Linked DNA regions of Drosophila melanogaster. The protein of the gene in region 4 interacts with the protein of the main gene of each other region in a pairwise test. Each region holds a gene or a part of one and is shown on either strand. Other genes may lie near its edges.

The links.
Region 1: the proteins of CG31612 (region 4) and Oli interact in a two-hybrid assay, tested with the Drosophila melanogaster proteins (one large-scale study listed by BioGRID).
Region 2: the proteins of CG31612 (region 4) and CG13204 interact in a two-hybrid assay, tested with the Drosophila melanogaster proteins (one large-scale study listed by BioGRID).
Region 3: the proteins of CG31612 (region 4) and CG10348 interact in a two-hybrid assay, tested with the Drosophila melanogaster proteins (one large-scale study listed by BioGRID).

Annotation. Positions count from the first base shown.
Region 1 is NT_033779.5:17,586,568-17,592,070, reverse strand, and holds Oli (olig family), read right to left. Parts: upstream 2,888-5,503; 5' UTR 2,492-2,887; exon of another isoform or gene 1,860-2,491; 5' UTR 1,832-1,859; coding exon 1,260-1,831; intron 1,200-1,259; coding exon 1,073-1,199; 3' UTR 804-1,072; downstream 1-803. Other genes in the region: CG6870 (uncharacterized protein), read left to right, coding at 1-373.
Region 2 is NT_033778.4:11,364,711-11,371,322, forward strand, and holds CG13204 (uncharacterized protein), read left to right. Parts: upstream 1-1,999; 5' UTR 2,000-2,204; coding exon 2,205-2,391; intron 2,392-3,575; exon of another isoform or gene 3,576-3,690; intron 3,691-3,837; coding exon 3,838-3,988; intron 3,989-4,046; coding exon 4,047-5,526; 3' UTR 5,527-5,577; downstream 5,578-6,612. Other genes in the region: Tapdelta (Translocon-associated protein delta), read right to left, coding at 5,743-6,003, 6,063-6,302.
Region 3 is NT_033779.5:18,729,016-18,734,896, reverse strand, and holds the start of CG10348 (uncharacterized protein), read left to right. Parts: upstream 1-2,372; 5' UTR 2,373-4,000; intron 4,001-5,881.
Region 4 is NT_033779.5:21,792,053-21,797,639, reverse strand, and holds the start of CG31612 (uncharacterized protein), read left to right. Parts: upstream 1-2,192; 5' UTR 2,193-2,246; exon of another isoform or gene 2,247-2,394; intron 2,395-5,587.

The DNA.
Region 1 (5,503 bases), 4.2 Mb from region 4:
TGTGCCCTTGGGACATGGAAAGTCCAGTAATCAGGTGGTCGTTGTACCAAGCAAAAAGGAACGTTTAAAACTGGAAGATCTGCCGGAGATCGCATTGGAGGAGGTGGCCCAGCACGACAGCTTCGACGATTGCTGGGTGGTAATCTACGATAGGGTCTACGATGTGACACACTTTCTAAGGGATCATCCCGGCGGCGACGACGTCATTATGGATCACGCAGGGCGAGATGCCACCATCGCCTTCCATGGCACAGGACACTCGGGGGATGCCATCGAAATGATGAAGGATTTCTTGATCGGTCAACTGCCCACCAAGCAGCACATTTTTCGCACTGGCAAAAACAAGGTTTTGTCCCTGGGCATACCGGAATAATATAATGCCAGCCGATTTTGCACCGATCGCCTTCGCCGCCGTCCTCCATGTCGTATATGTCTATATATATATATATTTTTAGAGTATTCATCGACTAGTTTTCTAGTTGTAATCCGCTTATTTCGAATTCCGCTAAACGGCTTTTGCTTAATCATCAAAAACCATACAGACAACTATGTATGTATATTTATATGTTAAATATTTTTGCCAAGACTTGAAACGGATCTAAGATTATATTATTTTAAATTTGATTGTGCTCTTTGATGTTTGTTATCTGATGACTATAAATGGTTGGTTGGGTTGGGCGTGTTTGAGTATTTGAAACTCTTATTTTGTTTGTTTGTTTGATGATTCTGAAAAATGACAGGCTTCTATCAGTGCTGATGGGTAAACCTAAATGACCAAACCCTTTTCCAACGACATACTTTCTACTTCAATAATACTTTATTCGGTAATATTCATCTTACACATATTGGTTGACATTGGGTAAATGCATAAATAAGAAATGCTTATGACAAAAATAAATATCACTGAACAGATTTTCACTTGGCTGCTCTGATAAGAGGCTCCTTATCAACCTCCTTTCGTCTGACTAGTACACAAGTATTTGGCATTTGCTTTCCAATTGACTTAAAAGTATTGCTCATTAATGGATTGCTTATCAGTTGAACCATAGTTTATGGTGGCCCCCACTCCTATTTAACTGCTGCTAGTCGGTGGTTCGTTGTGAGGTCCTTGAAGAAGAGCCTGCAACTTGGCAGCCGCCGGAAATGCACCCAAATCCAGTGGCGCTGCTCCCGTGGTGCTTTGTATATAGGCCAAAAGTCTAAAAGTAAAAGCATATATGTTAATAATTCCTATTGAGCGTGGTAATGAACTACGTTACCTTCTCAACTCCTCGAGAGCATTTTGCTGCATCAGAATGTAGTTCTTAGCCAGCAGCAAGGTGGCTATTTTCGACAGCTTTCGCACAGAAGGCGAATGGGCATAGGGAATCACACTTCTCAGCTCATCAAGGGCATCATTCAAATCGTGCATCCTTCGTCGTTCCCGGGCATTTATGTTCAGCCTTACCGTCTTTCCCTGGCGGTTTTTCTGCTTGCCACTGTTGGAGCCACTTCCGCTGGCGCCACCACTGGACACGGCCACCGTGGTGGTGCCACCACTGATGGCAATGGCTGCGATGGCGGCGGCCGTGGGACTCAATGGCTTCTCCGGAGCACTGGGCCCTGGTTTGTTCTCATCCGTCGGTGGCTGCTGGGACATGCCCATTCCCTGGGCATAGAAACCACCCAGACCAACCGATCCAAGTGGCGTCCGACGGCCGGGGACGCTTTGTGGTGGGCTGGCGGTGGGTGCTGGATGCTGGCCACCAAGCATATTGGCTGTAGGAGGTATTGGCATGTGTCCGTGGTTGGGGAGACCGGGAAAACCAAAAGCAAGATTCGAGGGATCCATTTTTTTGTATTTTATGGGACTTTTCCAGCTGTGAAAAAAAGGTTGAAGGGATGTGTAATCTTTTAGGGTAGTCCTTGCAAATCAAAGTTATTATGATGCAGGGTTGCATAAGAAAACTAAAAAATAGGGGTGAATACTCGTATGCTCAGCTGTTCGGTAGCGCCATCTGTCGGAATTTTATGTATTTAATAGGTTAGCAAAGCTTTTTATAGGTGGAGCATCTGTTTTGTGTTTTAACCCGAAATGGTTTAACAAATTGCAAACGTCTGTCAGGTATTCCTTAAATTTAATTAAAGCAAAATAATCGTTAAGCCTTTCGGAAATTCAAAGCCAAAATATTACGCGGTAGTCAGATTAACAAGATGAATATAAGCTTATCAAAGCTTTTCATAGGTGGCGCTGTGTAGTAGTCCAATTTAAGGGATGGTTTAATATGATGTTTCATGGCGAATACAATTTTAGCGGCATTAAATTTATTTAGGAGCGCAGCACTTCAGAAAACAATAAACTTTAAAATTATACGTCAATATATATAAATAATAAATTTGGCAATTATTAACCCAACGAAATGGATTATAAAATATGCAAAATCGACGCAGCACTTTATTTAACTTGCAGTTAATTCATGACACACTTAAAAGATTATTAATTTAAATTAACCACAAATCACAAGTTCGCCGGTGTACGAAGGGGACGAAGAGCACAGAGCACGGAGAAAGAAATTGCGGATTTAAACATTTTTAAAAATCGCACGCACCACAAACCAGGCAAAAAATTCAGATCCTGAATCGCAATCGGAATCGATGCGCGAGTGTGAGGTGCCCGGCAACAACAGAGACGACCGCGATTTTGTGGTGGGTTATAGTAGTCGCATAACGATTTTCCGATTTTCTCCGCTCACTCTCTCTCTCTCTCTCCCTGCCTCCGCCTATGCTTTCCAATCGCCCGTCTCTTTCGCTCTGTCAGCGAGGATGATTATAAACTTTTTGCCACCGACGCCACCGTCGCCGTTTGGTGTTAATCTCTTTCTGCAGAAGGAATATTATGAGCCACTATATAAAATGTGGGTCGGGTGTCGACGCCGGTGGTTGACGTTTAGTGGTTGGGCTTCGCATAATGCAGCATCCACACCAATACATACAGCACGATTATTACCAATACTCACAAAGGTGAATGAGTCACAGTTTCAGCACTAAGAAAAAAAAATGATTACTAATGATCGAAACCTTTTTGAAACATAACATATAGCATCAGATATACCCTACACAAAATAATAATAATTTCTAACATAAATCTAATCTGCTATTGAAAAGTTAACAATTACATATTTGCATTTAAAAATGGTATAAAATCATACTAATTAATAATCTATTCATTATTAATCATTATTTTGTATATTAAATAAAAGTCTGCATTTTTCAATTGGTTAAGTAATAATTAACTATAACCACACTTGATTGTAACGAAAACCAAAAACTTTTGTTATCTCTCAAAGTTGCATTTAATTGTTGAATATTATTTAGTGCAGTCAAATTTTTTACAAGTGTATGAAGTTTTTAATGCCTTTGCCCTGCCTGTCCGAAAATTCACTTTTCTTGTTGTTCAGGATTTTTATCGCTTCGCTCCTTTTCAACCCTGATGGCCCATCACCACCCCTCGCACCCTGAATCCGCCGGGTCCGCTCCTTTGTCTGTGATTTCAATTTCCATTGAAACTGAATCTAATCACATGCTCACTGCCTGCTGATCCTGGGCCGCCTGGCCAGTCCTGGATTCCTGTCCTAGGGGGTTGAACGAGGAACAAGGACCACGAATAGCCGTCCATAGCCCGTGCATCCTAGTATTTCGCCTATATGCCCATATACAGCATAGCTCAGAGGATGCCGCATCTGCATGGCATTCTCTACGTGAGCGAGTTTGTGCGTTTGCGAGTTGCCTGGAAATTATGGTATCGCATTGTTCAAAGCTGGAACAATGCCATAAATGGCACATGCCAAATATTTTCGTTGGCAAAGGCATAAGCTAGAAAAAGGTATGGAAAATGATAGGAAGTGCTAGGCAGATCTAGGCCACATATTTATTTATTTGATTGTATTTATTAGTTTTAAGCAATCTTTGGGTGTGGGTATATTTTTATTAATTTAAATATAAAAGGACACATTTTTCAATTAAGAGTATTATAAGAGTGTTTTTCAATTGAAATATTTTTTGAAATATTTAGAAATCCGCTGTTTAAATGACAACCTAACAAAATTATCATGAAAATCAAACATTTTTTTAAAAAGTCGTCCGATGAAGATTCTTTGTTAGTGCTGCTCTGATAAATATTTAAAATCAATCAATAGAGAATTTTTTTAATAATAAAATTTAATCGAAAAAATCTGTGAACATTCTTTTTTTTATCGACTTGTAAATTGTTAAGTCAAAATTTGAAATAATTTTTCGAAGATGCCTCTTTTAAAGTTATAAACTTTGTTATTTTACAAGTTCCATAGCTAAAGCAGATGTTTATTATCCAAAGCCAGCATCTCCATCCTCCTGTCAACTGCAATGCCCACTAATGACTTTCCACACTTCGGGCCTCGCAGGACATTTATGTATAAGTGGCGGAGTGTGTGTGCGTGGAGCTGCCTGCAGTCGTTTAGTCCTTAGAATAAGTCAAACTACGAGCACGGGCGACAGACCTAATGACTTCGCGCATGATAAATTTAATAATTTGCGCTGGCAACTTTTCCATTTGGCCTTTGTTTGCGCTTCCCTCCTTTCGTAGGGAAAATTATTGTGTCAGATGTTCGGGGCAGCAGTCACCGTATGCCATTATTTTCAATGAAATCCGGAATCTGGACAGCCCCTCTAGGCAATGCACCATTTGCTGCGTGATTGTGAGAGTTTTTTTTTTTTTTGGGTTTCGGGCTCGGGATCGGAATCGGGTATATTTGCAATCGCAGTGCACTCTCCCTTGTTGTAATTGTTCTGGGACTAATTCAGTTTATATATGCAGCATTTACATTGCAATTTACGGCGCTTCAGCTACGGCCAACACAATCATTTCGACTTTTCAACCCCGGGCCAGCCGAAATTTAAATTTTCGGTTTTTTCATTTTATGGCCACATTTTTATCAATCCATATACATATATATGGGCATTTGTCGCTGTTCCGTATCCGGGTTCCCGGATCCCAGGTCCGGCAAAGGCAATGAGGAATTTCATTATAATTTGCATAATTTATGCGCGACCGTGATTTGCATAATTAAGATTTGTACATTTGTGCATGCCAGTCATCATTAGCTTAGGTTCCGCACTGCGGACCAATTGTAAATGGCCAGCCCAGGGATTTTTTGGCTCGTACCTCGTGATCCGTCAAAGGGTTGTCATGGGTTAATGGATGACCCTCGAACTAAGCCACCGCGGGTATGGACATAAGTGGCTCTATTCATTTTGTGACGCTGTTAACTAATTTTATTAAATTATTCAATGTACTTTTTAACTATTAATGCAGTTTTTTAATATATCACAGTAAATATCATGGAAAATGCTTTTGAACTTTAGTTTTAAGGTATCTTTCATTCGAGCTTTAGACAACTTACAACCCTGACTTTTTCGTCAGGCAAAATTACAAATGCAAAAGCCTGAAAACCCCAATTTAATGTTTGGGTATGCGCAAATTAGACAA
Region 2 (6,612 bases), on a different chromosome or scaffold from region 4:
CCACAACGCCCAGCGACCCACTACCCGCCCGCCTCTCCACACCCACCCTCTTTCCACTTCCCTCGCCCCCCATCATTCCACTAAATGCTGCTGCTGCTGCTGCCACTGATGCCTTTGTTGTTGTTGTTGCTTTCCCTGCTGTTTGGGGGCTGGCTGTTGGTGATGATGATGGTGATGTTGATGATGATGGCGGTGATGATGACGTTTGGAACTGGCAAACCGGGAGCTGTGGGTGCCAGAGGGAGGGGGTGGCGATGGTTGAAGAGAGGGGGGAAGTTGGTGGTGGGGGGAGGTAGAGCAAGAGCCGGCCGCCAGGACTTGTGCTGTGCCAAAAGAGTGAGTGAGAGAGGGACCGAGGGGCACAGAGGCGGAGACGTCGCTGCTGCGTGTGCGAGTGGGGGCGGGCAGGAAGATAGAAGGAGGGAACGAAGAGGTGAGGAAGGGAGAGGAGGCGAGACGAGAGAAAAGCGAAAAAATACTTATAATAAAAGCAACAAAAAACCCGCACAAGCTGAAGAGATACAAACGTACACACGCAGCCAAAGCGCACAAGCACACACACACAGGCGCCGTCGTCGTCGCCTGGCTAAATATTCGCCAATGTGTGTGTGTTTGTGTGTTAGTTTGGAAGGAGCCAAAGCGGTAGGTAAGTTAACTGGTCGTAGGTTCGCAACAACAAAACCAGAGTCGCAGCAGCACCAGCAGCAGCAAAAGAAAAAAAGAAGAAGAGGACGGCCAGTGAACGCGGTGAACGGGGGGGTTGCTGAGGAACGCGGATCGATGGAGCCATTTGGCTGAACCAGAAGCGAGTCCAGCAGCAAGAAAGGGGGCCCAGCGGCCGATTGTTCGCGCTTAAAGAATTTAAAGCTGAAGTAGCATCAGGAAGAGATATTAAAGGCATTTTATTTTTAAGCAACAGTAATTGGTTGCAAATATTTTATACTATGTACTGGCTTCCACGATAACAGGGTATACGATAACTTGGTAAAATTGTTCACAGGTTTTCAGGGTACCCTCCACATGGTGCTCCATGTACATACAAACATACACACATACGTATGTATGTTCTTACGCCCCTGAGCAGGCTCGCCCACTCTCCAATTTTGGCCGTCCTGCTCCCCCACCCTTGCAACACTCAATTTCAAACAAACCTCTTTTGCGCTCTTCTCACATCTTTCACTCTCTCAAAAGTGGCTGTCCTAGCGGTACCAAAAGCTCGGTTGAGACAAACTGATAAGGATAAGCAAAGATCACTCTCTTGATGCTCTCTTTGCACAATTCTCAATCGTTATGATATCCTTTCGATATGCCATTGCTTATGCTGTGACCTTGAACTTGGCTGGACGAAACGGGCACGTGACAATCAACAGTTCCATCTTCTGCATTTTAAAATGCATTTAAGCAGCTCTTGCAGCACATTTCGCCTGCCACAAAGTGCGGGCAGCATCGCAATTTTGTCGCGCCTGGGTTTCGTGTCCACACATATACATATGTATATGCATGTATGTATGTACACAAATACATACCTAGCACTATAGTGCAACTAGCCCTCTGGTTCTTCTTTCTATGTGGTTGCTGTTGCTGCTTTTTTCTTGTGGGCGGTTAACGCTCAAGCGGTGCGAACGCCCATGTTGCGCCCCTTCCCTGCCCTCCCACCTCCGCCAGCTCTCTGTTTTTTCGTCATGATGAGCTTGCCTGGCTGCCTGCTTGTTCTTGTTCTTCTTTACACGTCCTCCAACGACGTTCGCTGTTGGGGCCCCGCTTTTGCTGTTGCTGTTGTCGCTGGTGCTGCTGTTGCTGTTGCTGGTTGTTGTTGGTTCGGGCTGTCTATGCATGTATGTGTGAGTGTGCGTTCGTGTGTGAGTGTGCGCGCGCGGCGGTAGGTGGGGGCGGGGCGGGGCAGGGTGAATCAGGGGCGGTGCGGCATGGGGGAACGGTGGAGTGGGGAGCGTACTTGTGTGTGCATGCAGCTCTCGGCGGCGTCGTCGTCGTCGTCGTTTCATTCAAGTGTCCAACGTTTGCCGGAGCGGTCGCACACAGAACGGTAGTCGGATAGTCGGACGGTTGGCAGATTCCGATTTTTGCGCTCGCTCTCTCTCCCTCTCTCTCTCGTTAGCCCGCGCTCTCTCCTGCTGTGTACTGTTAGCAAGGAGGCGACCGAAAAATAAGAAGCTTGCCGAAACCGTTAGCAAAGCGCCGTTAGCATGAAGGATGTGAAAGTGGCGCGCGCAATTAGCGAGTCCTCGACTACGTCAGATAACACCTCCGATTTCATCGAGATCGTAAAGAAGTACGATGTGGTGTACAACAACCACAATCCGGATTACAAGAACGTTGAAGTGAAGCTGAAGGTTTGGACGCAAATCGCCGATGAGATAGGTCTTTCAGTGGGTAGGTAATAATTACAAGTAGCACCACCCCCTCGTCAGCCCGGCCCACCACCAAACCCCCTTCCACCCAGCAAATAAGAAGGAGGCGCAGGAAATTGAATTACGTAGAACCCACGCACACTGCTGCACTGTATATACATATGTATATGCATATATACAACCTTTGTATATGTACCTGAAAGCGGACAAACTCAAACCGCCCGGCCTGATATTTTTCGTACGCTGGTACATATACATATGTATATAGAAACTGTACGTTCATATGTGTGTGTGTATGTCAGTTGGAGTGCGGTCGGCAAATTGCAGCGAGAAGCAGAAACAAAAAAAATATAAGGAAAACACACTGGCACGCAGAAAAAACAAACAAAAACAGTCGATGAGCGAAAACTGCGCGCTCTCTGATGCTGAGAGAAAGAGCGAGAAAGATAGTGAACAGGCCGGAAGGGGCGGTTGTGGGAGTGGGTTGGCGAGAGCTTTTCAAAACAAAAACATTGCGCACGGTGTTGCCAGGTGCGAAACTTTTTCCCAAAACAAGCAACCACCTGTGCTGCAATTTTTAATAATATTATTATTATTATTATATTATAATATTGCCTATATAATTGTTATTTTAACTTTTAGTCAAACATAAATAAATGTGTAATATCATACATTAGTTATATTTTAATGTGTATTTTGTCTAAATAGAGCACCATGTATTCTTTAGTTCCCCTCGTAAACATTAAACATTTGTTACCGCCACGACGGTTTAATTTGGGATTAATTTTAATCTAGCATAACTTAAATGCTTTTGGAGCATACTTCCAATAAGAGCCCCAGAAGATACTAAGCATCGCTTTGCTTATATGTGTGTACAATATACAAAAGTCTCATAATTTTTAGAAATGAAACGTGTGTAAATGCTTTTTTTAATCTATTATAATATCTTACGAGCAATTCAGATGATAGGAATACCTTTTTGAATTGAATTTCAGAATATCACGATTAAATTTCTTTTGATTGCGGCTTTATATTCACCATATTGGCGAGCAGATCGCTTATTGCAAATTCTAATGAATTATATTATTAAAAACTCCAAACTGCATTCGCTGATTAAGTATTTCGTTGGTCATGAACGGCGGTCACACTGTCCGAAATTTAAATTTTAAACTTGACCCCACTATACATTTGTACATGGGCTAATGGAAAAAATTAAAAGAATATTTAAATCTGTGTTGAAATATGCTTTTGGTAGCTGACAACGTATTGAGCCGCATCCTTAAAAATTAGCAGTCCTGATAATAGAATCAGCGATAAGTTTGTGAGATGGTCTAAGCTTAAAACTTATTTTATCCTTAATCATTAAATAACGACTGAGAGTAATATTCAACAAAACACTTCCGATTTTTCAATGTTGCATACCACAATTATCAACATCTAATTTTTTCTTATTGCATTTGATTTTTAGAGGCCTCGAAACGGAAATGGAAAAATCTAAGGGACAGTTATACAAAGTATCTTCGCTCGTTTCGCGTAGGCACAAAGACATCCAAGAAGTACCAGTACTGGGCCCATGCAGATCACATGGATTTCCTAAAGCCCTTCCAGGGACCGGGCAGGTGAGTACTCCACATTGCAGCTCATTTGTACAATCGCCGAACTGATCATCTGTTTTAGGAACTCCGCGAATGGCAATGGAAAATCCAACGACGAGGACGACACAGAGTGTGATTTTGGCTACCAAGTTTTGGCCAAGGCGGCCAGCAATGGAGGCGAGGATGAGCTGAAGATAACCATTGCCACTGCATCGGCTGGTTGCTCATCCATGGGGACGCACACGGTTAATACCTATACTACCGCTTTAAGCAGTACTTCGGCGTCCGGCATAACATCAAGTTTGGGCGCGACCACGCCCCCGAATATGATCTCTCCAGGCAGCAATTTGGGCGGAACAGGAGGAGGTTCTGGGTCCGTGGGACCGCAAATCCACAACAGCAATAGCAACGGCAGTGCAACCGGAAGTCTAAACTGTGCTGCAGTGGCACCGCTCAGTTCGATGACTCCACCTGCCACCAGTGGCAGTAATTCCGCCGTAGTCTTGCCCCTGCCCATCTCACCCGCATCCTCAGTCGCTGCCGCAGCTGCTGCTGTCAGCAAGGCCAATGCAAATGCCCTGGCCTCTCTGGCTAACCATCTGCCCATGGGCTTGGGCGTGAGCGGACTGGCCCAGCAGATGTTCCCGCTAGCCACGCTCAAGGCGGCGGCAGTGGCTGCTGGTCTTCCCCTGCCACCTACGATCACGCCGCCTGGTTGCAGCACCGGCAGCGCAACCAACAGCAATGTCGGTTGTCTGATCATCGAGCCGCATCTCTTTGCGGCGGCGGACAACTTCAAGAAGGAACTGACAGCGGCTGCGGCAGCTGGAGCACCTTTGGGATTGTTCCAGAACCTGGCCAACCAAGTGCAGAACGCCAATCGTTTGAACGGCAGCTGCCCGAGCTTACCCATGGGTAATCCCACTCCTCCGCCGCCGCCGCCAGCGCCACCAGCCTCCAAGGTGCGAAGGGTACAACCTTCGCCGCAAACCACGGCCATCAACCTAAGTTGCTCCGGAGGGAATTCCGTACAAACGCAGCAGCAGCAGTCAATGCAAATGCCACAAATTCAACAGCAACAACAGCCGTCGCCCGCCAAAACGCGTAAGATTTGCGATCCGCGTTTTCCGAGCGATTGGGACGTCTCTGCCGTGCTACAGGCCAACAGAGAACTTGACGCAAACACTCTTTTCTTCTTGAGTCTGGCGCGGCAGGTGCGAGCTATGCCCATGAAATTCCAGTCGCTCGCCAAGATGCGTTGCATGCGAATCGTCAGTGATTTGGAGCTAGAGCTGGAGAACTTTGATTGCAACGGTGGAGCGCCACCGCCGGATGATTCAGGCGGAGGAGGAGCTGGGAATCTCAAGTACTGCAGCATAGATACTCCGCCACCGCCGCCGCAGGACGGCTCCGTGGTCATACCCCCGCCGCCAGTCGGCCCCGAGGGCTCCACGGAGCACTTTGTGTATGTGATGTCGCCGTCGCGTGTGGAGAGCATGATAGACATCTCCTCCGACGAGGAGGCGACCATGAATGGAGCGCCCTCCACGGGCCAGGTTTAAGCGTATTCGTACAAGTTATCTCTAAATTAAAATTAAATTAATCTCAACTAGGTTCCTTCGGTTGGTCTTTCAATCAGTTTATTTTGGAGCGGCGGGTGATCCGATGCTTAGGTGTACAAAATGTGGAAAAATCTCCGGGACCCGGCAATTTGATGGTACATGACTTTAGTGCGAATGAATTTCATTCAAAATCTCGATGACGAAGGCATCCTCTACTTAGGACTGCACCTTGCCCTTGGTGGTGAAGGCGAAGTATGCGAATCCGCCGACCAAGAAGGCGGCCAAAAGCTCAGCCTTGATCCAGGGACCCTTGTAGGCACCCTTGGTGGGCACGGAAATGTCGAGCAGCGACTTCACCGATGAAACCTTGTCGCCATCCCGCTGGGCCTTGCGCACATTGGCATAGCCATCCTCGTCGAAGAGACGCACCTGAACATTGCCGCTGCTGCCCTGCTTGATATCCTCCACCCAGCTCACCTAGTGCAGAACAGAGATTAGCCTTTGCACAAAACTTGACGGGGCTACTACTGGCTCACCTGGTACTTGTTGTCGCCCACCTTGGCCACCGGCACCACCTTGCCGCAGGGGAACTCGGCGAACAGGCTGGCGGGAGCGGCTCCGCTGCACTGCAGCGTGAACTCGCCCACATGGGCCAGCTGGGTCAGAATCGTGGCATCCTGGGTGCTGAAAGAGCTCACGGTGGCCTTGCAGCTACCGTAGACGCCGGACGCACAAACGGCGGCAATCAGGCAAATGGCGAACAGTTGACGGGACATCTTGATCAAGTTATGAGGTGGTTTTTATTTAGTAATCAATGGAATAGGCGGAACTCTACGGCTATCCAACTCGGCGACCTGCGACTTTCTTTCTCTCTGGAAGCGAACGCCACGACAGCACCATACATACGTCACGTCACTTGACAGCTACGAAAATTGCCGAAGTCGTACCAGTTCGATGGTCACACTGGTCGTGACCAGGGATGGCAACGCTCAGTCGAGAATAGCTACAAAATAGCTAGTAGCCCGTGGTAAATTTTTCCGATTTTTTACTTGTTATATCTAAAAATACAGTTTTAGAAAGCGGTTT
Region 3 (5,881 bases), 3.1 Mb from region 4:
CAAGAATTTATTCTAACTGAACTGAGTATCCAATAATGCATATATCTTTCATACCCCATCTATTTTCTGGTTCAATCAAACACTCACTCAAGACCAAAGTTCCGGCATTTCACCGTCAATCTCCTCCGCATTCCACCACCCAATTGCAATCACTCCACAAAGGATGCCCCAATCATCCAACTGAATTCCATAGCTGACCCACATTCCTCCGCCACGCTAATTAATAAAAGATAATCTTCAATTGAACTCATTTGCAGCACACTGGCCATCATAACAATCCTTTTTGGCCACAGAGGCCCAAAATGCAAGCCAGCCGACTTCATATTATCAAACCATCAATCAAGCGAAGACAACAAGGCGCTTCCCTGCCCGGAAAAGCAGCAAAGCAAGCGAAGGAAAATGCTGTGCGGGCATCGTGTGGAAAGCGGGAGCGGGTGGAAAAAGGAAAGGCCATTAAGGAAAAATAGAAAAATAGTTGTGAACTCATTGACTCAAATAAATAACCAACGACCATGGCACGCGGCCGACGCTGCGAAAGATGAGAACGTTGAGGAGAGTGGGTATCTCGGCCTTCGCAGCTTCCTCTTGGCGGGATGAAGATGATGGCAGATCATCAGCTAGAATAACAAGAGGAGAACAGCTACAATAACAGCTCAAGACGCTACGGAACCTGGAGATTTGCAAATATCTGAGCCATAAAGCTGCCAAGTGTTGGCCTGGCCGATCATCAGCATGATGGCAGCGGAGAAATGGACAGTGCGGACTGCGGACTGCGGACTGTGGACAAACGACCTGATGTGCATGGGGTGCGCTGTACCTGTAACGGTAAAATTTCTACAAGGGAATGTGCTTTCATTTTGAAGTGTTGTATGTCCATGCACTTGGACTTGGACTTGCGCCAAAAAATCAAAGCAACCAAGCTACTGTTAGACAGCCGCAGCGGCCGGAGCAGCGGCAGCAGCAACATCAGCAACTTGCAACAGCAACTAGCAACGGCAGCTGGCAGTTAGGCAGTTAGTCACTTCACAAAGTCATTTTTGATTTGATCGATTTCGTGCAACAGCAACAGCAGCCAGGCACCGCAGCAACATCAAGAGTTCCAGTTGCTGCTGCTGCTGCTATTGCAGTTGCAGTTGCAATTGCTGCTGCTGTTGCAGCTGTGTGAAGTGGCCAAGAAGAAGGCACATGACATGGTCTTGAACATGGACATGGACATTGAAAATGCCCGATTCCAGTCTCGTGCCAAGTAGGACACACAAGTTAAGACCAGAGACCCTTCTCTGACCGTATGTTAATCTGCGATCAGTGAAAGAACCCGTTGAACTTTCCCATTCCCCTAAAGAGTGTGCACACAGAGAAATGATGGGATATTTCTAGACAAGGAGAAGGAAATCAGTCCACAAAAGATGTCCATCGGATTTTTGTCTTTCCTACTTGGTTAGTTTTGCCAAGAGTATAATAGTTTATAATAATTTACAACTGGGTTTTAAGTGTGATTATCCTACCAGCTATTTAAAATAATTAAATACTGATCTAATCTTTAACGCGTAGATTCATGAATAAATGCATCTTTAAAATTAATTCAAAAGTTACATTCCTACAACTAAAATTCGACCCATTCAACCCAGAAGTAATCTCTTTTTCTTTAGGTGCACCCCCCAAGTTACTAGAATGTTGTCCGCTTGTGGCCCGCTCGAGCTTCCAGCGGCGACTGCTTCACGCTCACTTTTCAGATACAGTATCTCGGCGTTTTGTGGAACCCAAGTGAAGCGGCCACGAGATCGGCTTTGGTTCGGGTTCGGGTTCGGGTCTTGAGATCGGCTCTCTGTTCGTCGTTGGGGCGGAAGATCTCCACCCAGTTTTTGGATGCAGGTCTAGCGCTTTTGGAATTTTCATTGAGTAAAACCAGGCAGGATGCATCGCGCGGATCGCTCGGCTGGCGGCCCCTCATTTACCGTTCGAAACTCGTCTAGGCCAGAGCATCTTTGCATGTGTTCGTGTATCTGTGTGAGCACGTTCGCTGGATCGCTCTACATTAAGAAAGAAGTGTATTAGCTTCGATTTATTGCATCGTTGCCTAGGCCCCTGCTTCTGCCTCGGTCGCTGCCTCTGCTGGCGTCGCTGATGCAGTTGGCGTCGCTGTCGACGCTGTGGATTGTGAGTCTCGCGTGGAAGTGGGAATCATCACTGGTGGATCGGGGATCGGTCTTTTATCGTTGTGTATTCATTCAGAGCACCCATACACTCGCCGAAGACGTCGTCTATTTTGCGTTTTTTCCTTCTGTTATGTTTCTGAGCTGAGCTGCTGCTCTTTTCTTAGCTTTTCGTTATTAGGAAATCGAAAACTGAAGCTGCGACTGCGACTGGGTCTATCATCAGTCCGTGAGACGGTCTCAAAGCTATTGGTCGTGTTGTCGCTTTTGTCGGAAAAACAGCAGCACGTAACGCTGAGCAGAAGAGATCCACTACGTAAAGCGGTCGTAAGACGTAACGCCATGCGATCGGTGATAACGGTAAAACATTCAAAATGAAGCGCTACCGTTTTATAGTGAAGTGAAGATAGGATCGCTTAAGGATACATCCTAAATACAAAATATATGTTATGTGTAAATTAAAAGCATATGCAAATGCAAATTCCTAACTGTGTCAATTTCATCCTAGACAAAAACAAAAAGAAACTATCTCCAAACTCGAATCCTCCTATAGACAATAAATCGATACAACTTTGCTGTAAATCTCGAATAAAACGTACAATTTATGCTCCTCTCACACAAATGAAATCACAAATTGCTTAGGAATTTTATGAACTACGCCCAGTACGTGGATGATGTGATATTAAAACACTTGCACAGAGCGATGCATATCTATGGCCTATATATACCAGAGATCGGTGCTAAATCAATGATAACTACTCGCTTAGATCCAATTAATGCAAATTGTGACAGCGCGTAAATGCAAAGTGATCCAAGCCGAGCTGCACGGAAATCAACAACAAATGCCACCGAGACATGTGTACAGGCTGATGATTATGGGCAGACATTAAACAGACAATCCATAATGAAATTATAAAATTGAAAAGATTATAGCCCGGGCTGAGCGATCGTCGAGAGGAAACTGAAACGACTGGGAAGTGCGGTGAGATTGGATCGAAGCGGCTTGGCCGGGGATCGATGTCAACTCCGGGGAGAACAGCTCGCCAATTAAAACGTATTAAATAGAGAAATACATACATATAATAAAAAGTAATTCTAAGCAACTTGTATCATAAATCAGACCAAGCTGGCCAACGCGAGTGATTGTAAAAAGTGTAAAAAGATCAGTAAAATATACCTATATCTCAAAGTGGCAACTTCCCTCGTATATACGTACAACTAAAGCTCCTAATTACCATAAATCTAAAAGTGTTTTAAATACAATAATTTATTAAATACATTCAATCAACATCTTTTACCGTTGACTACGTTTAATTGATAATACGAATATTGGCAGCCAGACAATATTTATATAAAGTTGTACAAAGCTATTTTCTGCTATACAAAAAAAACTACCTAAAGACTATCCTATACCAACTTAAATCCATCCGAAAAAATATCCCCTAAACTGAAGTTCCCACGCGCCATCGGATATCAAAGCTAGATATATGCAATATATCTTATATCTTGGCCCGATCACAGGATGACTTACGCTCCACTACGACAACAACAAAAACCAGCTGAAGCAACAACTATAACCACCAGAAGATCAAATTTGTATAGCAGCCAATGCCAGTCGAGTTATCAACATCCGTAAGGCCGAGAGAGAAAAATACGCTGCAATAGCCAAACGGTGCTCAAATGGTGATTTCTTCCTGCCAGCGGCCAACGGATATCCGTGCGGATTTTATACCAACAACGACCATCGCAGCCACGACAACGAGTTGTGCAATTAGAGCAAAGCTGCACAATAAACTAGAAGAGGCTGGCAAATTGATGCTACCAAAGCGATCAGAAATATCAAGCATGTAAGTTGAAAGATATGCACAAGACAGATTGAGGTTGAGCAAAAGACAGTAAGATACTTTTTCAGAAAGGGGCAAAAACAATATATAAATAAACACCTTAGAATATCTAAATTGAACATAAAACCACAATATCCAAGAAACCTTCCTGCCATTACGTTAACTATAATACATAAATGAATTTTAAAACTCTAATGAACCACTACGGCTTAATTTAATTGATTACAATAAGCACCATCACAGGATCAACAAATATTAGACTTAATGTCAACTGAGGAACATTTACCACCAACAAAAAGTTGATAGATGAATTTTAGTTTTTGTATCTGGCTGCCTCGCGATCAGCAGACACGTATTCGAAAGATTCAAGGCTTCCACCGCTCGAAACTGTATTTTTCTTGTATTGTAATTGATGAATGAATGAAATTGAAGTTCGAGTAATGACGCAGCGATTTCGTGGGGCGGCATTAAGATTTAGCCAGGCCAAAAAGACGTTGCGAGCGAAATAGAGTTGTCCGCGCACAGATACAGACACACTTTTTAATTTGGCAATCAAAAGAAAAAATAAATTATATAATTTTTCTCTTTTGGCTACGCCTAGATTCACGCACTATTGGCCCACCGAGCGGGCATGGAATGTATTTTCTATAAATTCGATTGTTTCCTTAGCTCAAGAAGAGTGTTGTGCTTTATTTTCGAAAGTGATTAATAGGTTTGACATGTTACTTTTACGCTAATTGAGCGATCAAAATCGAATCGAAATGGTGAAGGGCGAAAGGGTAGCAGCGGCGATAATGATAATCCCCGAATGGAATAAAAGTGTCCAAAAAGCGTTTATGCGTTAAATGCACGGAAATCGGCCGCATGTATCCGTCAGATGCAGATACATACATTGAATCCATAGGCATTGGGGCGATTAGTAGCGCCTTTCGATTTTTTTTTTCGCCCCTCGTTTTGGAGTGAATGTTTTGGGCGCGTCCATCGCAGAGGAGGAGTAACGAGGGGTGGGGGCAAATTAAGCAGGTTAATTTAATTTTAAATAGAAGTCGATGGTCGGTCGGTTGGATACAGATTTTTTACTTTTCTTTTTGTTTTTGTTTTTGTTTTTGGGAGTGCGGTGGCAGATGGGCGTAAAAGAAGCGCCCGAAACAGAAACAACAGATCATTAATTAAACGTTTGGAGGTTAGTGAGTGGCCAAAAAGCCAGACAGGTTGATAGAAGCCAGTCCCTGTTCCAGAGCCCCAGTAATGAAATAAACTATTAGACCATTTGATCATTAGGCGAGGAACACGAAATAAAGCGAAGAAGTGACGAATCGATGGTCTGCGGACAGTTCAATGAAGTTCTCAAAAGGCGAGGTCCAATTTAGATTGTGTGAATAGATACACATTCATCTACTTCCCATAAATAATATTTTGAATAAGACGTTCACGGGACTTAAGGTAGTATAACTCACTTAGCGCGTTTATTTGAAACAATAGGTTAGTACATTATTTATCTAAAATGTTTGGACAAATTGGAACAGCAGTTTCTTCTATTATAGTTTTCAAATTTGTAGCTAATACTTGAACTATTATGAGCTGGCTGGAAAATAGCAATAAAATTGCGATAAACCATAAAGCATTGTTAGGGACCGTGAAAAACTTTCGCACAAATTCACACACAGCCCGTTTCACTGAGGTGGCGAAAAGAAATTATGACACTTGATCGTTCGGGGGCAGTGAATAATTTGTTTACGGCATTAAAATGCCAATTAAAGTGCGAGTTGGCCCGAAAGGAAGTAAATCGAGTGAAATGAAATGAAATGAAATGTTTCAGAGATAATCTGCGAAATGATGGCCATGACGCTATATATAGCAAAGCCGGGTCCCCAGTCCGAACCG
Region 4 (5,587 bases):
TAAGACTTATAAATTTATGGAAAAATTTCGAATTTCGAAATTTCGTTTTGTGCGGCTTGTGGGCGTAAGCCACTAACATGGGTCAACAAACTTGCGCTGCGGCTTTGGGTCTAGAATCTGTATGCTCTCTCTTTTATAGTTCCTGAGATCTCGACGTTCATACGGATAGACGGACATAACTATATCGACTCGGCTATTGATCCTGATCAATAATTTATATACTTTATATAGTCGAAAATGCTTTCTTCATCCAACGAATCTTTTGTAGTATACCCTTTTACTGTACAAGAGCGAACGCTGTAGTCGTGCTCCACGGGGTGTACGAAGGGCACAAGATATACTTCATTTGATTAAAACTGATTCTACATTCTTATCTAGTACACTTACAATCTAGTATACTTACATATATTTACTGTCCTGATGTAGGGTAGCGATGACTCGTTTTTCTCGCTTGGTTTCGGAATCTGACTAAAATATTGAGAAACTGTAATATATAACCAATATTTTTCGTTGGCTATAATGTCTGCTGCAGGGCGTCCAGCAAGAAGACTTCGCCGCTCTGTGAGCCTTTTGGTTCCACCCATATCAGTCAGCCCCCAAGTACGTCAGTCAGTCAGCGAATGGATGTTGTCCGTTGGTCCGGAGTCAGTCCGCCCGTCCGACTCTGACTGCCCATCGCACATGCAATGGCCGCAGCATTATCATTTGGGATACTCAGATCTTGGCGTGTCGAATTCAGCTTGCGGTGTCCGGGGTCCGCGCGGCGGATTGTGGAGATGGTATGGGAGGGCCTCAAGTTGCAACACAGACACTGGGCGAATCAGAAATGCCAGAATTGAAATCGCAGTTTAAATCATTTCTCGGTGGAACTGCTGCTTCTTCAGCGCCTCCTCGCCTACATGGTGCCCAGTCACAATCGCCTCAAATCTCGAATAACAAATCGCATAATTACGGGGAAGCGGCTGTCCATTGCGTACCCTCTCGCTCCCACTCTCTGCCATCAGTGCGTCCCGCTCTAGTCTTCTGCCTGGCAGCCAAACGAAGACGAAGGAGCGAAGGCTCGAGACGGCGATGCAATTCGGATATGAAATATTTTAGCTAAATGGCAGCCGAAGAAACAAAAATGTGGGATTGAAGCGTATAAATCAGCGGGTATTCGCTCCGTTGCCCTCTGGAGCCCACCTCTCATTTCGGTCCTTTGGATGCTGCATCAATATGTGGATGTGCAGCGGCTGTGTGGTGTCTATGTGAAGCATAAAATCAACCTGAGGCGATAAATCGAAAAGATTTTGCGCTGAACACGCAATTAGTTCACCTCTAGTGGAGGATTCCAATGACATGGAAAAATGGTTTTGATTTCGCAATATAAATGGATTTGCCTTGTGTCCCCGATTTCTATGGACACAACTGAAGGCAGAATATGTGTGAAATGTTTTCTTTGATTGGTGAATTAACATTCTTTTCTTTCTCTATCTACTATAATATACAATATTTTTTATTTATTTTTTTTTTAATTATTGCTCTTTTAAATATACGAACCAAACACACGTTAGAAAATATTGATATTTTCGGGACTTTACGTTGGACAAAACCAGACACTGCTATTCTTATGAACAGCATAAAAGTTGTGAATTTGCTCAAGAATTTAAGCAGAAAAGGATAACATGAAAAACTATTGGGATTTTCTTTTTATTCCTATATACACATTCCATTTTACAAAAATAAGTGAAATAAAAAGTCGATTCCAAAAAGGGAAAATACCTTTGTATTTCTTAGTTTCCCTCGCACTGCTATTTTATTGAACACAGCTGTAAATACATACATATCTGGGACACAAACGATGAGACACAACTGCGAAACATATTCTACACCTTAAAATATTTAAATAAGAAGTAAAAAAGAGTTGAGTAAAAAAACTAGACAGAACCGATCCAAATATTCTTTATTAAGATCAATAGCCATCTCAATCTATCCGTTCGTATTAACCTCGAGACCCCAATAGACCTTAACCGTTAGGAATTATAGCTCGATAAATGTATATATGAAAAAGATCACGAAGTCCAATCAAAAAAAATTGTAAGTAAATTACCCCCTAATCAGAAATCTCTGGTGTTTTTCGAACTTAAAAACCACTCAAATATTCGAACTTCTCTCTCTCAGTTGCACAAACGATTTCGAATTTCGAACTTCTTGTGGGAGAAGCAACTCGTCGCGTGCGTCGTACGCTTGCTGGTGAAAAGTGCGCTGTGAATTATGTTTTATTATCTGTGTTTTACAGTTTGTTCTATCGAATTTAAATGAAAATACGCATCAGCAACAGTGTTTAAGCTCTGCTTTGATGAGAAAAAACTATTTCCTCTAATCCAACCTTGCTACTTGCACTCCGATCCACAGGTTCGTAATATACATATGTATACCCCAAAATTATAAAATAAAATGAACATATTTATGTTTCGACTTGAACTAAGGTAAATACTATGGAATTATTGTTTGGTAAATACATTTTGGTTGCTTTTGGCCATTAAATTGTCATTAATTAAAGGTTTGCTTGCATACCGACAAAAATCAGCTGTTTTGCGGTTTGTAGGGTCAGTGGCGTACATCTCAAGAGGGGGTTAAAACATTTTCGTGTAAGCTAACAACTTGAAAGAATCTATTAGTGGTTGATATGGTACCTATGTTTTGTGAGTACGTTTAAGAACTAATAAATAAATATTTCGTTGTTTATTATTAGCGAAATGTTACCATATATTTTGTAACAATTTCCTAGTTCGAGACCCTCATCCGAACGCCTCTGTCCACAGACTGTTTTCGAAAATTCGACAAGCGAAAGAGCAAGAACAGTTATTGTCTCGTGAGCACAAGAGCGCGACCGGTTTCTGTTTCGCTCTCGCATGTTTGAGTGATTTCGAAAGATGGATGAGTTACTTCGAATTTTATGGGAGAAACAAATTTAATTCCATTTGTCGCCATTTCTGAAAAAATTAATCATTTTACAAATTAAATCGGAAGAAAATAAAATGAAATAAAAAATAAAGGTAAACCAACAATGCGTCGACGAATACATAGTAACGAAAAAATTCACTTTTGTTAAGTTTTTTCAAACATTTAACGTACATGTACATGATTTAAAATATTATTCTTTGCTATTCAAAAAATGTTACTAGGATTGCATCTCCCTAGGATAATATATTATTAAATAAACAATTACACGGAAAACTTGTTTTTTTCTACACCTATTACTTGTTGTTTAAAAAGGACATAGAGAGAAGAGTTGGTCCGTTTGATGGTCGAGACTTCGGAAACTAAAAAAGCCGAAATTTTTAGCTATCAAGGTTTTTGCAGAATGTTGCCGAGCCCACGTCAACGTCCACAAAACCGCCAAAAAATTTACTCCCACACTTTTACAAAATGTTTTCAGTTTTCTGCCCTTATAGTAAAATGGTATACTAGATTCGTTGAAAGAATATATGTACATATTCATAAGTAGATATTATTATAGATGATACTTATGTAGTAGCTCATTTTCATTATGTGTTATCTATAGGAGCTGTATTTGCTATTATATCAGGTTTAATTCATTGATACATATGTATCAATATATGTACATATGTATCATTCATTGATAGCCCAGTCGATCTGGCCATATACATATGCCCGTCGTTATAAACGTCGAGATCAGGAGACTAAGCATACAGATTCTAGAGACATTGTAATAGAAATGTCAATTGCCAATTTTTATAGATTCTTTGTACCAAAAACATTTTGTTTACGCCCCTCCTAACTACCTACAAAACGCACAAAACGGCCAGGACAACATATTAGAACAATTTTGTCATATCTTCTCATTTTATTTGCCAAAATCGATATAATAAATATCGCTATGACAAAAAAATGATGACATTTAATCTGATAGTAGTGGAACTTGACTATAGCATTTTCTTTTGTTCTTATTTTCCCTTTTTCTTTCTCCAACTTTTATCAATATGCAAAAACAATTTTTTTATGTATGTAAAAGCTATAAAACATAAAAAACAAAATTTTTTAAGGAATTTCCTTGTTTCAAAATGTTTTCATATATCCAAACTATTTCTAAAAGGAGCCCTAAACATAAACGCAAACATATATCCTCTTTGGTCTATTTGGAAATTAATAAAACGGACTTTTGCATGGAACGAATTTAAGCCAGCCTATAGTCAAGGTACAAAGCTGGTAAAAGTGCGAATTAGAATTTTCAACATTTTTCTGACATATCGATCGAAAGAAATATAAACTAAGTAGTAACGGGTAAAAATATTAACCAAAGATCGGATGGAAAATAGTTTGGCCATAAATACATACATACGTATATACAAATTGGAAGGTAAGGTGCCCTGTAAGCCGATGAACATTTGAGGAGCTCATAAAAAATGACTTAAAATTAATGTATTGAAATGTATTCGATTGGTAATCGAAAACATTTAAATTCTAAATTGCAAAATTTGTCGCTGATTTATTGTTTTGTAGAGCAGCATTTTTACGAAACTTCTGCGCAGGGCCAGTTTCCGAACCAAAGTGAATACAACAATGAAGAAATGGCTATTCCTTGTCTCACTCACTCACCAAACTCCATTGAAATGTCACTCAATTCCGTGTCAGATTGGCCACGCTCACTGGCCATCGTTCCTCTCAGAAGTTAGGAGTTAGTTAATTCAAGTTCTGAAATTTTTAGAAATGGAAGATATAAGATAACATCTTAGTTAGTTGAAAAAAATAACAACATAATATAAAATAATTAGTTGAAAAATATAAAAGAAAATTAATAAAAATAAAAATAAAAATTAATAGAATTTTATTTCTACCAAGACGTTATCTTCCATGTACTTTCGCAAAGGACATATCTGTTTAAACGACCCTGTCAACCATGTCCTTCATGCTCTTTTCTATTTTCAAAATGTATCCTATGCCCAAGACATTGACAATAGCAAGGACGAAAAGCGGACAACAAAGCAGAAGCGAATCAGAAACGCAAATAATATAGGATAACAGGAGAGCTGCGAATCCTGGAAATGCCTACAAGAAGGGTGGTGTTTTTAGACGGGTGGATGAGGGCGCCCCTCGGTAGACAATTAAAAATATATTTAAGCTGCCAGAGGTCTTGGGTCTAAACTTACTAAATGACTGACAAGTCCGTTGCCTTCGAAGCAAAACACTGCCCCGAAAAAGCGGGGCTGTTAAAAACAAGACAAAGGGAATTTTAAGAAAACTTCCCTCGCTTTTGTTTTTCCCTCCAAAGCACTCGTGTTTTTTTTTTTTCACCCACTCCAACTTCTCCAATCCGTAGCAAAATCAGTTTGAGTTGTGTGATTGTGTACGTGAGCATAACGGTTAAGGTGGCCAAGACTGGGTGCAGTCCACCCCAATGGCCACCCCCTGTCAGAATTGATTGATTGAATTGCCACTTTATGAAATTTGTGAGTCTTCGGAGATGTGCGTGGAAATTCGTGTTCTCGTCTTCGCCTTTCCTCTGGGGTGGATCCGTACGGTGGGTGGGTAGGGGTTTTTCTTGGGCTGGGTGGCTCTCCGAGGGTTGTTCCTTCTGATTTGT